Regions from separate parts of the Mus musculus genome. Here region 2 is reported to be linked to region 1. The links are microRNA targets in miRTarBase. Many come from high-throughput screens and were not tested one by one. Region 1 holds a microRNA gene; the other region holds the end of a gene's coding sequence. Distances are between the middles of the regions.

Region 1 (8,147 bases):
AAAGGGATGTTCAATACGCAAACATGGTGGTTCACACTTACCATAAATAGTCCCACCACTTGAGAGGCTGAGACAGACAGGAAGATCAAGAATTTGAGGCCAGCCTGACTAGGCATCTTAAAAGACTAAAGAAATGTAAAAGTATAGATATGAGATGACTGTGCAACTAAAGGCTCTTGCTGACCAAGCCTATCAGTTTGAATTAGATCCCCATCATTGCATGGTAGAAAGAGAAAAAAACAACTCCTGAAAGGTTTCCTCTGGCCTCTGTATGAAAGGCCTAGCATATCTGTGCCCTTTGTCCCAAATAGATGTAATAGAAAATAAATATAAGGTTCATTTATATTTAAAATATCTGCAAATAAAGGAGAAGTTCATGTTGGAGTTATATTGGTTCATTTTTAAGTCTTTTTTTATTACTGTAAACATTTCAGTTTGTATATTGTTTTTAAATGGAAAGCATAAAATATTTATGATGTATATGTATTACACTAAACTGTGTGGGTTTCTTATACTTAAATGTAGCTGATATGTACATTAAAAATCAATCCAGTGTTTTGTTTATTTGTTTGTTTGTTTCAATCACTGACATTTTTATTAAATAGACTACTAGGACATTTTACTTTCAGAAAGCAAAACGATAAGACATTTTGTAGGGCGAATAATGTAGATTACAACAGTGCTGAAAGAGAGGAGTATCATTCCTATGGGCCCTCATCTCTAAAGTGATGACTGTCTTTCAGTCAAGCTTTGGCGTGACTGTCCTATTTCCCTTCGGTGGAGACCAATGCCTATGGTCTCCGCTGAGCTCTTTAACCGTACTGCCTCCATTTTGGCCTCTCTGATGCTTTCACCTTTCCTACTGAGATGGGCAGAGGACCCTGTGATTATGATAATAATCCCAAAGAGTGAGCACTTGTAACTTGAGCTCTTATCTGTCTGACTGGGAAGAGAAAATTGCTAGAGCAGAGACATTTCATGAGATTTCTTGAACAGATAAATGATACCCCAACAGAAATAGACATGGACATTAAGAAGTGGCGTCTTGAGAACACCAACTCCAGTCATTCTGGAATCTTCTTCATCATATTTCACAGAGGGCATGCGCTTGCTTTGGAAAGGAGGAGGCAGTAATGTTTCCTACTGCGAGTATGACATTTCTTACTTCTTGCATTTTGAAAAGAGTCATATTCACAGCAGAAAACTAGTTTTTAATGAGCTTATGAATGTGTTCCTACCCCAGACCACGAAGACAATTTCCAGCTGACTAGAATTTAAGGATGAAATGTGCGTGGCAGCGCCATCTCCTTCCCTCTCATTTGTCAGATCAATGCCCCCATCCCAATTCAGGTCAAGGCATCCGGCAGAAGAGAGGGCTGCAGAGTGACAGTGAGATGCTCTATTTCACACACTTGCCCTCTGGAAAGGACTGGCAGAGGCAGTCACTTAAATTAAATACAGGTCATCAAACAAGATATACAGTCTATTTCTAAAACAGACAAGCCCAGCATCCCGAATCCCTGTGGCCTTTTACTGAGGCGCACTGTGCTTCTTTTTCATGCTCCTCTGTCAATTCATGTTAAAGTTTGCTTTGCTTAAAAGTGATATTTCATGTATTCTCTGACCCTCTTGCTCAAAGCAAAGAAATTGCTTTGGTTTATTTATGACCCGCTAACCTTAAGCAAAGCTGAACTTCTTAATGCTTCCAAAGCCCCGGGAGGAGAAATAAAAGCTAAAGTAAATTTGGCAATGGTGCAAGTCAGTTTTAACCTGTCCAGAAGACCTTCCAAAAATTATGAAGGGAGAATGGTTGCCTACGTGCACACAAATGACATATTTCTGGTGGCTCTTGATTCAGGAAAAACTGCAAGGAAGCAGATGGTTAACACCAATTTAGAATCCTGGAATCTTAACATTTTCTAAAAATAGTCAAATAAGACTCGACACCTGACAGAAAATGTAAAATTTCAATACTGTCCAACATTAATATTCCAGCCAATTATCAAATTTGGAAAATAACAGTGCAGACAAGGTTAGCTAGTAAAATAGTGATTGGAACCAGCATTGTAGAAAGCCGAGGAAAGGTAAGCTAAATCAGCAAGTAGACATCTTTCCCCTGTAGAATACCGTCCTGAAGTTATTCTCTTACTGTGAGGCAGGTGCAGCAAGAGCAGAGGTGCTTTTCCTCATGGAGAGTGAGTTTAAGTTATTGAGAGGTTTTTCTCATCAAAAACTATAGCCATGAGAAAAGTACATGTTTCATTGGATAAATAGGAGTTAAAATATGTCAGTGATGTGATGTTTAATCTAATTTCTTACTAAACACCAATCACTTTCAATCTCCTAAGAACTTCATGATAGTATTCTCCGTAATTTTATTCTAAGAATTTGAGAAATTTGGACTTATATTTTCTACAGAGAATTTTAGAAGGTTCTGGAAACCCCTCACATTGCGGTGCTTTGCTATTAATTGTGATTCGGATGGAAATTGCTTGATCGTAGTTCCAATTTTGTATATTGAGATAAGGCAATGATCATGGCTTAGAGTCTCAGCTCAGCAGCCTTGAAAAAATGATATCAAAAGCAATGACAGGTATGTATAGAAGCAATGGGATGCTGGCCTGAATATGATAGTGCAGTGGTCAAGCAAGGGAACATGAGCAACATGCATTCTGGTGAAACTGATAACACAGATGGTCCCAGGAAGACTTGCTTTCCTTCCACAAGAGACAGCCCTCTGCAGGAAAGCTATCTCAAAGGAAGCCACACAGGACTATTCAGATTCATCAGTTTTATGTCTTGTAACTATCTGAAGTCTGAATGCATGCCATCAGCAGATCGTTACCTTATCTACCTCAAAATACCAGCCAGAGACACTTGTCCTGTAATCTCTTCGTGTACAAGATAATAAATGATTACAGGTTTAGCATACAATATTCTAAGTAAATAAAATGAATATGTATAAAAATTTGGACTGAATGGTTCACCAATATTTTATTAATAGTTACACACACACACACACACACACACACACACACACACACACACACACACATATATATATATATATATATATATATATATATATATATATATATATACTTATTAAAGCCACTTAAGAGTCTACATAAGTATAATGTAGTAACTTTCTACCCTAGTTTTGAGGAGTACAAAGGGATTTTTGTTTAAGTTGATATTTGAAATCAGTTTTGAAGACATGCTCAATAGAGTTCATACTAACTTGTAAATGCACTTCATTTCAAGAACACCTAGGAAATGGATAGAAGTTACTGCCAGATCCACTCAATCAAAACAAATAACAATATTAGGATATAATAACCAAAGTGAGAGGAGTTGAATTTCAGGCAGTAGGCATAGGTTGTATTAATTTTCATTGTAGTTTAAAGTCTTGTGTCATAAGCAAAGAAAGATGTGCTAAATTGGTTTGATTCCTTGATTGTTTTAAAAATAAGTATGTTTAAAAGAAATTATACTAATTAAAATGCCTATTGTAAAATAAATGCTTATTCCATGCACATTGTAAACATAGAAGTTCAAAATTGTTAGCAATGTAACTTGAGAAAACCTAAGTGGTTTCTGCTTGATTCTGCATGACCTACATGCGTCCTTGCAGTTCTTATTATATACATACCAATATTTAAATTATGAGATACTTAGATACTATTTGTTTTGCTTTTTGATAGTTCCAATTTTGTTGAATGATAAATTCTCCCTGTCTTTAACAGCCTGTAACTAAGCTCCCCCCAAAAGGACTTTTCTTCCCTTTTGAAAAAAAAAAATCCGATTCTTTTCTTTGACACAGCACAAAGTGGAGGTTTGCCAAGCTCTGGGCTGGAGGAATCCTGCTTCTTTTCTTCTGTACTCTTTTGAAATGGTTTAAAATGTGTGACAGGTTTGGTTAAAGGATTGGGCTTTCCTCTGCCTCCCTCCTGCTCCAGACTCCCACAGATACTGTTTAAATCAGCACATCTCTGCCTCACAGGTTGCTTCAGTGAACATTCAACGCTGTCGGTGAGTTTGGAATTCAAATAAAAACCATCGACCGTTGATTGTACCCTATAGCTAACCATCATCTACTCCATGGCCCTCTGCGTTTGCTGAAGACAGAACCGCAAAGCAGGACCCGACAGGATTCTCCCCGCCTCTTCAGAGACTATGTTTACAAAGGTCACAATCAACATTCATTGCTGTCGGTGGGTTGAACTGTGTAGAAAAGCTCACTGAACAATGAATGCAACTGTGGCCCCGCTTTTTGCTGTCGCAATCAACAGACGTTCCCTCCCTAATAGAGGTCCTGGGGGTATTAACGCCGTTTCTCGGTTTAACTTCTGCTGTCTGAACTTTCAGGTTTGTTTATTCAATTCATATCAAGTCCTATTTCTGTGAGGAAGTCACTAATTTATATAAGAATACTGCTTTTCTATACTCCTGGGGGTTACAAATGGGGCATTTCTTAAAAATGCTAAAGTGTTGGATGCCCAGAATCAACTGTGTAGCCCTGGGTTGGCACGGCTTCCTGCTCTGCTGTGCTGGTGGGAGGAAGAACCAAAGAAATATCTTACTTCCTGCCCCGTTATCCGTCACATTGTTACACAGAAAATAACCATCCCCTCATCTTTCATTAGATTTCTTGGTCAAAATGGGCTTGAAGCAAGAGGGAATTCTTTTGCTCTGCATAAAGAATCGCTGAAATGGCTCTACTCTCTATGGAATTGGTAGGCAGAGGGATAGTACCTCAATAGCCAAGTACTTTGTTATCCAGGGGCTCATTATAATCATGCAATAGATTTGTTTCCCCAGAGAGACCTCAGATTTAAGATTATAGTTCATCATCTTTATTTACCCTCTACTTTCTTCTGAAATGGTAGACTTGATTCCAGGGACTGTCTTCAAGCAAGTGTGTGTGTGTGTGTGTGTGTGTGTGTGTGTGTGTGTGTGTGTGTGTGTTTCCTAACTAGTTTGGCTCTATAATTTCAAAAAGAACATCTGTCATTAAGGTTCATCACCTCCAATAGTAAGTACAGTGGTTGGAGTTAATATTTATAACAGGATGTTCAGCATACAGTGTGTACATGGTACCTAGTACATGGTACCTAATAGATTTTAATTCGTTGGGAAAAAATCTATCAAACATATTGTCCTTTCTCTCTCTTGATCAGTTTATTATGATATACATTCAACTCCCACTACAGAAATCCATTCCTGGGACCTTGCTCTAGTGTTCAGAATATTCATTCCCACAGTATTTTACGTAGTTAGTTCACAAGTGCCTGCCTTGCTTGGGGCATCTCTATCTATCATAACTCCTTTCTCCCACCGTCTGTTTCGTTCCATTTAACGTATGACAAGGCTCTAATCTCAACAAAAAACAAGAAGTTCAAAAAAAAGTTTCTATTCCTGCTTCATTCACTGAACAGCCCCCTTCTTTTTTCTATCTTAAAAAGCTATGAGTTTGGAAACGTCACTTAATTAGTAACCTGCAGAAGAGTCTCTATTTGTGTGTTCTCTCATTACTTCTCTTCAGCCCACAATTTGACATCTTGAAACATTGCTCTCTCCCAATTGTGCAGATTTTTTTTTAATGGAAGCTGGTCTTGGTGAAACCAAATCACCAGTATTATTCCACCCCTGGTAGCAAACTTCCTACTCTTCTTCCATAAAATCATTCCCTTTAAGTTCCATATTTAAGTGGATCCTGCGGCACTGGCCTCTATTTCATTGATTATAAATTCATCCAGGTATATATTTGTTGATAAACTTTTCTAAGCCTGGATAGTATTTCATTTCATATGTGTATTTGTGTGTGTATGTGTGTGTGTGTGTATTCGTATATATGCTAAGGTAATGGAGATATGTAGATATATAGGTATATGTGTGTGTATACATATATGTGTATATATATATGTGTGTGTGTGTGTGTGTATACCTATGAAAACATCCATAATGTCAGAATATTTTCTCTACTCATTCATTGATTGAAGGACACTTTGTTACCAAAGCTTGGCTATTATCAATAATGTTGAAATGAAGAGAGTACAAATACCTCTTTGATATACATATCTCAGTACACACACACACACACACACACACACACAGAGGATGTAGGGATGTGAGGACATATAATTTAGGGATACTATTTTCATTTTTTGGAAGACATGTCATCCGGTTTTCCCAAATAGTTGCACTAATTTACATCTAGCGTTCACAGTGGTTTCCTGTGTCTTTATTCCTTTCCATTACCCTCTTAGCTCTTGTCACTTGCTACCATGTATTTGATAATGTCCATTCTAACAGGGGGTAGGCATAAAATGATTATGATTTCAATGTGCATTTACCTGATGGGGTGACAAAATTTTTCCACATATTTGCACTTTAAATTTTTAGTACATTATTTATTATTATTTATGTTTCTTTAAAACAGTCTGAGTGTTTGATGTGAATGATATAAAAGTCAATTTGTAAAAAAAAATTCTTAAGATTGTACTGTTCATGTATATAGGCTTGAATTCAAAGCATAATAAAATATTAAATTTTAATTACTCATTTGAGTTTGACTTTTTATGAGCTACACGAACTATTATCACATGAATTCACTATGTAATGGTGAGTTTTTAGAAATTTATGAATTACAAGTCTTACTGATTCTTGATGGGAAGATAAGTACAAAATTCATATCCCAGGTTGTACTTCTAAAGACGGCGATTTTTGAGGCAGCATCTCCATGTGTGGACCATATAGGTCTGGTGGCTTACTCTGTTCTCAGCTTCCAGAGTCCTAGCATCACAGCTTTTTATGACATCATGCTTATGATGTAATTATAAGTAATAGTAGGCAGTCATTGTCCAAGTTGTAATGCCAAGATATGATAAGGAATATATACAGGAAAACAAAATGTTCTCAAAATTCAAAGGCATTCTTAGGCTGTTTAGTTATATTTCATAACTCTTTCTTCTTCTTTGGGTAGTTCAAAAAAGAGATCATCTCATTTTCATGTGTTGTTTTCTCTCAAGTACAGTTATTGACAAATTCACTTAGTTAAAATCTCTATTGTTGGGTAGATGTTTTCTGAGAAGTTTTCTCATGGGGCTGGGGAGATGGCTCAGTGATTAAGAACACTGCTATTCTTTCAACAGGACTTGCCTGGAACCCATATCAGGTAGCTCCTAGCAGCCTACAAGTCAAATTCTGGGCAATTGGAGTCCCTTTCTGACCTCCATAAGAACCTGTATATATGTGGCATAGCTCCATAAATACACATACACATGTGCATGTACATACATATACACACACAAAAAGTGTGCTTCTTTTTATATTGCTGTGTTTTGTTTCAAGCCACAATATCTGCCTCTTTGCTGTCCTGAACACTAAAAACTTTGGTTGAAAAAGAAAGAAGGAAAGAAAGAAAGAAAGAAAGAAAGAAAGAAAGAAAGAAAGAAAGAAAGGAAGGAAGGAAGGAAGGGAGAGAGAGAGAGAGAGAGAGAGAGAGAGAGAGAGAGAGAGAGAGAGAGAGAGAGAAAGAAAGAAGAAAGAAAGATAGAAAAATAGAAAGAAAGAAAGAAAGAAAGAAAGAAAGAAAGAAAGAAAAGAAAGAAAGAAAGAAAGAAAGAAAGAAAGAAAGAAAGAAAGAAAGAAAGAAAGGAAAGAAAGAAAGAAAGAAAGAAAGAAAGAAAGAAAGAAAGAAAGAAAGAAAGAAAGAAAGAAAGAAAGGGAAAAGTTACACTTAGGAGCTAAAGGGAACTGCAACCCTATAGGTGGAACAACATTATGAACTAACCAGTACCCCGGAGCTCTTGTCTCTAACTGCATATGTATCAAAAGATGGCCTAGTCGGCCATCACTGCAAAGAGAGGCCCATTGGACTTGCAAACTTTATATGCCCCAGTACAGGGAAATGCCAGGGCCAAAAAGGGGGAGTGGGTGAGTAGGGGTTTGGGGGGGTGGGTATGGGGGACTTTTGGGATAGCATTGAAAATGTAAATGAGGAAAATACCTAATAAAAAATAAATTTAAAAAAAAAGATTTGATGAACTTACAAAAATAAGGCTAAATGGAATTACCTTTATCATACAGAAACAGAGATACAACTTTTCCTTTAATCCTCACAAACCATTAGAGAGAGAAGATAT
Region 2 (8,147 bases), 42 Mb from region 1:
AATGGAAAGGATGACTCTGAAGAAGGTATCCCAGAACCAAAAGGATGCATGTTTACTTCTCATTGGTTGACGTCAGCTTTGAGTCTTCAGATATATTGTCTCATATGGAATACCCACAGGCATCAGGAAGTTAGTAAGGAGTCATGGAAACAAGAGGTTTTCAAGGGATGCAAGATAGAATTCACTGGTATAAATAAAACAAAGAAAAGGATGGAAGAGGGAGGGTTGAACTGGGATGAGGGAGGGAAGGCAAGTTAATAAGAGGAATGCAGAGAAAGGCAGCACTAATAGCCTTTCAAAAAAGTCATAGATTAACCTTCTAAAGTAGAGTCTCCAAAAATATTGGTGTAGGGATGGTGTTAGCTTAAATATTGCTTCCCTCTCTTGGGGTGTTATGCTCTCACTAAACATTACAATCTAGCCAATAAAAAACCAGTACACATAAAAAGCCTCAGTTATCTCTTCTGAGTTGTTGTCCAGTGAGGTCCTATGGACTCGAAACATCATAGATTGTAGACTTTTGGTCAAAACGTCATAACTTGACAGTAAGACCATAATTGTTAAAATTTCTAAATATTTGAGTCATGGAACATGGAGAAACAAAGCTTCTACTGATCTGAGAGCTTCCTATTAACTCTCTACTTCCTGATCTAGCAAACATAATGTACTTTTATTCACTTACCTCTCAAGTCTACTTTGTGCTGCTGAAGTATGCTTGGAGGTGTGGCCTTAACACTGGAGCATACTCAACTTACTGGGAACTAGACTAGAGAACACTGACACCCCATCACCTAGTAGCTATCAGGCAATAGTTGCTTGCCTAGGAGTGAGACTCTGTGGCTACATCTACTCTGAATACTGAACTTTGATCTTGCTTGAGCTTGCAAAGGTCTTAGGTTTGTTGTAACAACTACGGAGAGTTAATATGAGCCGCTGCCATGCAGTCTTACAGAAGAAGCTCCTTTCTTGTTGTCATACATTGCTTTGGGTTCTGAGAAGCCTTCTTCCCCACTTTATACAATGATCCCTGAGCCTTCTAATGAAGGATTGAAATACAGTTGCCCCATTTAGGGTTGAACAATCCACAACATCTTTTTCTGAGCACAGTGACCAGCTACGTGTCTCTGTGCTGATCACCATCTACTGCAAAACGTTCTCTAACCACATTTCAAAAGGGCATCACGGCTAGTGAGGAAGAGGAAGCTCTGAGAGAGTATAGTCCTAAGATACAGGAGAGAGTCCATCCTAGAGTCAATGAGTTCAAGTCCCCAGTTTCTTACTTCTGAATCATGTTTCCTTGAAGACATCTTATAATCTTTTTATTAGAATGTGTCAAATTTAAATGATGGCAGTACCTAGGTCTTATAGTTTTATTCAAAGTGAGTAAGTTAATATATATATATATATATATATGTATATATTATATGTATATTGTAGATTATATATTATATGCTATAAAATATGAAAAATACTATTATATATGTGTGTGTATATGTCTGTGTGTGTGTGGGGGGGTGTCTGTGTGTATTCAGAAAAGTATTTGAATCTAAAGGGTAGATGGTTTAACCGCTGTTAATACAAGAAAGGTGAAACACAAATTAGCTTAATGAATCTTGAGATACTATAAGCATTCATTCAGTTTGTTATTACTATAAATACAGTCCCTTGTATATTAGTTTATTTTCTGCTTAATTTTACTGTTCCTCAGAGTCTGTTGCATATTATAATGTTTAATTTTTCCTGTGTGCACACTAGAACTGTATGAGGACATGCCATTTAGTCCCTTGCACATTTAATTGTATACTGAAAATAATGATGTCAGGTTCTAGTCACAATTTAGACATTTAAATATATTTTAAGTTAAAACACGCATTAAGGTATGTGTATTTAACAGCAAAAGTAGATTTTTTTTATCATGCAGTTTTATAGAATTGATTGAAATTCACCAATGCTTGCACATAGTTCTGTGAGCTGTTGCGCACCATCAGAGCTGGGATTCAGCATGTGAACTGACTATCCCAACAGATAGAGACAGAATGAACATTATTTATGGATACTGAAAAGTAAATGTAGGTATGAAAGCTTAAAGAAAAAATAAAAAGGACATATAGACTTATCAACCATTCCTAATAGTCCTGTGATAGTGTCTAGTAGCATTTGACTCATAATTGTACAATGTTGAAAGGTACCTCATAAAATTACTTTTAAAGTGTGTTCCCGAATAGAGAGGTTATGACTGAAAACATAGATTTGTAAGTTATTGAAAGGTCTGGAAAACGATTTAAGTAAATAGTCCTTCTAAGTCATCTTCTGGGAGGCAAACAGCAAATGGCAGCAATTTGCAGATGAAGTCACATATTAACAGGCAGCCCTAGGAAATGCTGTATAAAAAGTCAGCAATGCTCTAGTCCCAGAGGGCAAATGACTCAGCTATAATACCTAGTGGAAGTATGAATTAGAAACAATTGCAGTAACCTATGTAGTGAAGGCCCCAGACTCCAAAGCACACAGAAAATATTCCACCCCCAAACTTTTGAGTGCTGCCTGATATTCATGCTGGTATTGAAATTACTTATACATCCATGAGTGCATTTGAAATAAATGTTTAAACTAATTGTGAGTGAGGCTGAAATTGGAAAAGACTTAAGCAGTAATGAAACCTTCATAAATGCAGCCACCCCATATTGACATATGCCATGAAGTCGAAGGCGTAGATATAGAAGATAAGAGAAAAAAATTGAAAAACAAGTAATTTAATTTATTTTACAATTGTACAAATGATAAAGCAGTAATAGTCCATTGCTATGCACAAACAACAGAAGATATTGTTGATCAGAATGAACCTACAGAGTAAGCTTCATCCTTCCTTTCCACAGATGGTATAAGAAAGGCTCAGTAGCAATTATCCTATGCAGCAAAGCTATCTGGAAACTTTTTTCTCTTCTTGCTATATACATCAAAAACACTTGTGCTTTCACCGACACACACACACAAAAAAACCCCAGTATTTCTTAAAAGGCGCTACATAAAAGAGAAACACACAACCTAGACCAACAATCAAAAAACCGCAATTTAAATAAATACATTGCCAGCTTGAAGATATTTTTTCCTTGACTTTTGTTTTGAAAGATTTGAACATACTAGCTGCTTACTATTACTCTAGGAAAGAACATATAATTCAGCTACAAAGTAGGTCTTTCTTAAAGCAGAGTAGTAAATGAAGTTTCAAAAGAACTTCTGTTTTTAAAGTGGCCATGATCTCCAGGGCAGTTCACAGTGCAGACCCTGAAGATATCAATATAACACACATCTAGTTGTGCACATATTACAGAATCAGTGTGTACACACAGATATACATATATAACATGGTATATATGCATCACACATTTCTATTTGTACTATATAGATATATTTATAGCACATATATAATAAAATATCTATTTCTAGATGGGTTGTATTTGGAGTTTGTTTATCAAATACAAATAATTAACCTTACTTGTTTTTATTAAAACCTTGGTATATTGATAACATTTAATGGGGAAACTCTCAAACTTGTAGAGATACCAGCTAACTATACACAACTTTTCCATCCCCCTTCCACAACTATAGATAGTCCTCATAATAATCACATGAAAACAACTCTGTGAACCAAATATCACATAATATGTATTATGACTAACTGGCACAACTATAAATAAATTACTTTGCTTACCCTTTCTTGAATAGTAACTGAGTAAATCACTTGTCTGTACACTACCCTTAGCATTTCTTGAATAAAGCATTTCTGTAAGGATATATGTGGAGATTTTCATTAACAATTGATATACAGCTCATATGAAATACAACACATGAAGACATTTGAATGCCCAGCACCTTCTCTAAGTGAGGAAAGCTTCCACAGTACTTTCATTGGTCCTGTGGGCTGAATCACTAGATTTGCTCTGAAAATCTATTATTGATTCATGTTTTCTTTCAACAACTTTTTATTAAGTATAGTTTATGCTGAGTAGCAATGATGAAAATATTTCCATGGTCTGTTCATGTCAAAAGCACAGTAGCAATCATGTTAGCTCAGTGACTGGGATATTTCACAGTCAGCTACCTGGGTATTCCCAAGTGCATGATTAAAACATTAGAAAAAGGAAATAAAACAAATAAAGCTGTTAGCATACCATATTAAGGAAATCACAGATAGTTCAAGTATATGCTTATAATTTGATTTTGTTATGATTCCTTATGCCATCATGTGTGTTAAGTCCTAACTCTTTTCTCTACTGTTAGTCTTCAATTCTCTCCTTGCCTTCCTCCTGTAAGAAAGCCGTGATAGGGATTGAGCAGTGATGGCAAATGAAAGGGTGTGTGTGTGAGGATGAAATAATCTCACACAATATTTCCTCTTTGAGTGCTAAATGTCTTTAATTGAATCCATTCTTATGTACTGAAAGTTCCCTGAGATGAACAAAAGTAGTTATCTCTCAAATCTGAAGCCCTTTTGATACTGAACATTTCTCTAACTGGGCAAGCATTTAGGAAACACAAAGCAGAGGGTGAAGAATCAATGCAAAGACATTAAAAGGCACTACTCAATGCATGTAAGAGATAGACATCAATGCATGCAAAAGTGAATGGCTAAGCTGTGCTTGCTGTGGCCAAAATGTTGTTTAAACACATCTTTTTTTCCCTTCTTAAAATTTCAGTCAAGATGGTATGCTGCTGCTTTCAGATACATACTTTGAATGAGTGCCAAGATAGAATTTACTTGCCAGAATTTACTTGCAACCTCTGGATTTCTAAGGAATTCATGTTAGCTGTTGGTGGGAACACAGATCTGCATAGAGTTCAAAATAAGTTTTATATATTATCCAATGATCACACATCCAGTGTATTAGACTTTCAATTTAACATCTACATAACACATATTTAACACTTTTTATTAAATGTATTGAATTGCGAAATAAAAATGAAATTTAATGATAAAGGTATATACTGGTTATGAAATGCCCATATCCATTCTCTTTTCCTTTCTGATAGATACATGGATTCTCAGAAACTGTTATTTTTATCCTGAGATTCTATCACTGTTTTAAAAAACACTGCAGCTAATATTAAAAATTTGGTAACTGTACTACATGACTATCCTTGTCCAGAATATGAATACATATATAATATATATGTATACCTTTGCTGTGCTCTTCATTCATTTTAGATTGCCTGACTTAGAAAAACAAAACATACACATTTTTCATGCCATTTCTGCTTTCTTCTGATTGCCTTCCCCAAGAAACAGGAAGTCATGTTAAATTGCTGCAGGCAAAAGCAGAAGTAAGAATATAGTTCTGCTTTCAAAAGAAACAGAAAGCCTGGCCACCAGTCAATTCAGTCACGTATGTAAGTCAGTAAGTCACTCTATGAGTAAGTTCATGTTGTTTTAAAAAATGCAGTCATAATGGAACTGTACTTAACTACAGAAAAATCCTTGTTAACTGAATTCATTTGACGTATTGTTGATGTGTTATTGTTAAACTGCTTTGAATTAATTACCTGTTATGAAAACAACACTCAGTTAATCATCTTATTTTGTGGAGAGAAATTTTAAAATAATAGTAAGTGCTTCATATTGATCTCTGCACCTGAATAGCCAAGAAGATTTTACTGAATGAGAAGTCTCATTTCAGCTACTTCAATCCAACAATCTACCTGGCCATGGATTTCCACAAAATTATGATGAAATGTCAAAGAAGTAAATTAAAAGTAATGTTTGAACTTGAAATTTTTAACTGTGTAGAGCTGAGTTTCCTATTAACTTCATATAAATGTGTTCATGTTAATAATATATTCTCTTTATAACAGGAGAGTGGCTTACTGTGTAGGAACATGATATAATCTTTGGTACCAAGAGTGAAACTTTTCTGCTATTTTTACCATTTTTCAAATATCACTCCTTCATAATAGTCTACTAATATCGAGTGGTATAGTTTGGCTGGTACCCACTACACCATTGATCTATAATCCAGAGATTTAGAGTTGTGCAAAGTAAAACAAACAAACAAACGAACAAGCATAAGTTTGGTGTGACTGTTGTTTAAAAATATATAAGGACTTTAGAAAGGACTGTTTGATGTTCGTTTTTCTCATTCACATGTGTTTCCCATTTCTGTATCTCAAATGAATTTCTAAGCACCCAAACCCAAACCAAAATAAATGTCAGAAGACAAACAAGAAATATAAGCAAAACGTAAACATGACCATTCTCAGTGTCCTGACTGAAAGCGTTTCCTCAAGTTGCTTCATGTCATGGATTTCACTGCTTGAACTCTCTCCTTCTTCATTTCTACTAAGGATGTTTTCAAGTCCCAAGGGCTGAGCTGTGCTCCTGGGTTCCTCTTCCAGTGTGCTTGGCATTACAGTGGCTGCCCCACAGTGATGAACATGTTTGCTTTGCTAACTGATGTTGAGTGCACTGTTGAATCTTGTAAACACTACTGATAATACATTCAAACTGTATTCTTCATGGAAGTGGCACTTACTAGGACCCTTGAAGTCAGAATATGTTGTAGTCAGAGCACTTTGCAGGTTTTTCATCAGCTGGTGGTGAATTCACACAGACTTCCATTTCAGCTACTCAGTCAAGTGGTGGATGCTGAATCCCAGCCTTATTTTGGATCCTGATTCTAAATCTCCAGAAGCATCTTAAAAAAACAAAGTCTGTGTTCAGTTTTTATCCTCCAAAGTGTGCCTTATTGCTTCATGCACTTTCCTGTGGTCAGTTTTAGAGCTCCTCTATTGTGTAGCACATTCAATGTTTTAAATTCTAATGGCATCCTGTGAGGACTGGCGTTGGAAAAGTATCTATATTTTAAGTCATCATAGTAATGATATTTGACAGCTTTTCCATTCAGATCCTTGGGAAATGGCCAGAATCCATAAAGGTGAATTTCATCACAGAATCTGGTGGCAAGTGTATACATGAGGAGACCTGTGCTAGGTCTTTTGATAGGAACTTTGTTAGTCAGCCAGTATCTAGAAGAAACAAAAACAAAAGTAAAACAGAGAAAATTCATAGTAATATACAAGAGCACATTCTATAAAAGTCATATCATGTAGCAAACACAATGTATAAATATGAATAAACTTTTCAGTGGTTACTGAAAAGTAGCATATATGTAGATAGAAAATTTTATACTTCTGCATTATCTTTTATCTCCTTATATATTTGTCATTCCATAAAAACAGCTAAGGGACATGAAAGCATAGGTTAATTCTATTCTAGAATATGCAATTCCAAATTAATCAGAAATAAACTTGTATCTAACATTCTGAGTAGAATATTTACATAATGATGTAAATGTCATTGAAAATCACAACATCAATGACTCCAGATTTGATCGTCAGATGTCACATGACAGCCTTGGCATGGTATGCAGAGGGAGGTGGATTCTTGAGTCTCATTGATCATTTTTTCTATGGTAGCAGCATCCAGCATTGACCTCCACCCTCAAGCTTACACAAAACCATTCTCAAAGACCCAAAAAGAGCCAAATGAATGCTTAACTCAAATTATGTCAACTGACCTTTTCAACTCCAATCATAAAACCATATTTTAATAGAGAAAATTTAAAGCATTATATCAACAAAACAAAAACACTAAGACAAATAAAATCTATTTTTATAATAAATTAATAGAGTTCACTATATATTATTTGATATTTTAAAATTCTTTATTGGTAAAATGTTCCCTGGTAATTTAATACATGTATGCTGCTTTCTGTTTTCTCTTACCCCACCCTCTTTTCTTCATCCCTCCTATGCCATCTTAGTCCTCCATTCAGGTCCTTTGCCCACATTCCTGTCCTTTTGTTTATTTTGTGACCCATTATTTATTAACCAGAACCTTCTGTGAGACCATGAATTTCAGCTTAAGTATGTAAGATGTATCCCCATGGTGAAATGTATTTCATAATATTAACTTGTAACAACAATAAAATACTTCAAAATTCTCAGATCCATCTTACTTGCCAAATTTTGCTGGCCTGAATATTATACAAACCCACAGATAATAATCACCTTTAGAGGAAAGGGGATCTCCAGCACTTTTGGGCACATCATTTCCTTAAGGAAAATGATGTCATGTGAAAACAACTAAAAGA

Evidence for each region. The annotated mature microRNA mmu-miR-181a-5p reads AACAUUCAACGCUGUCGGUGAGU and lies in region 1 at 4,016-4,038, shown strand. An mRNA with a match to its seed (bases 2 to 7 or 8) in the 3' UTR can be bound and repressed. Matches are read on the target gene's strand: a 7mer-m8 pairs with bases 2 to 8, a 7mer-A1 pairs with bases 2 to 7 and ends in A, and an 8mer does both.
Region 2: the mRNA of St8sia4 is a reported target of mmu-miR-181a-5p. Seed matches in the 3' UTR shown: 8mer at 6,490-6,497.

What each region holds. Positions count from the first base shown.
Region 1 is chr1:137,962,453-137,970,599 of GRCm38, forward strand. It overlaps Mir181a-1 (microRNA 181a-1), which reads left to right and starts at 4,003; the gene lies at 4,003-4,089. Mir181b-1 (microRNA 181b-1) reads left to right here and starts at 4,187; the gene lies at 4,187-4,266. Gm4258 (a long non-coding RNA gene) reads left to right here. Exons shown (of 3, transcript XR_003948014.1): 3 at 1-568.
Region 2 is chr1:95,584,945-95,593,091 of GRCm38, forward strand. St8sia4 (ST8 alpha-N-acetyl-neuraminide alpha-2,8-sialyltransferase 4) reads right to left here. Exons shown (of 5, transcript NM_009183.2): 5 at 2,738-7,020. The coding sequence ends at 6,738. Among named protein-coding and RNA genes, the nearest start is that of St8sia4, 79 kb to the right of the region's middle.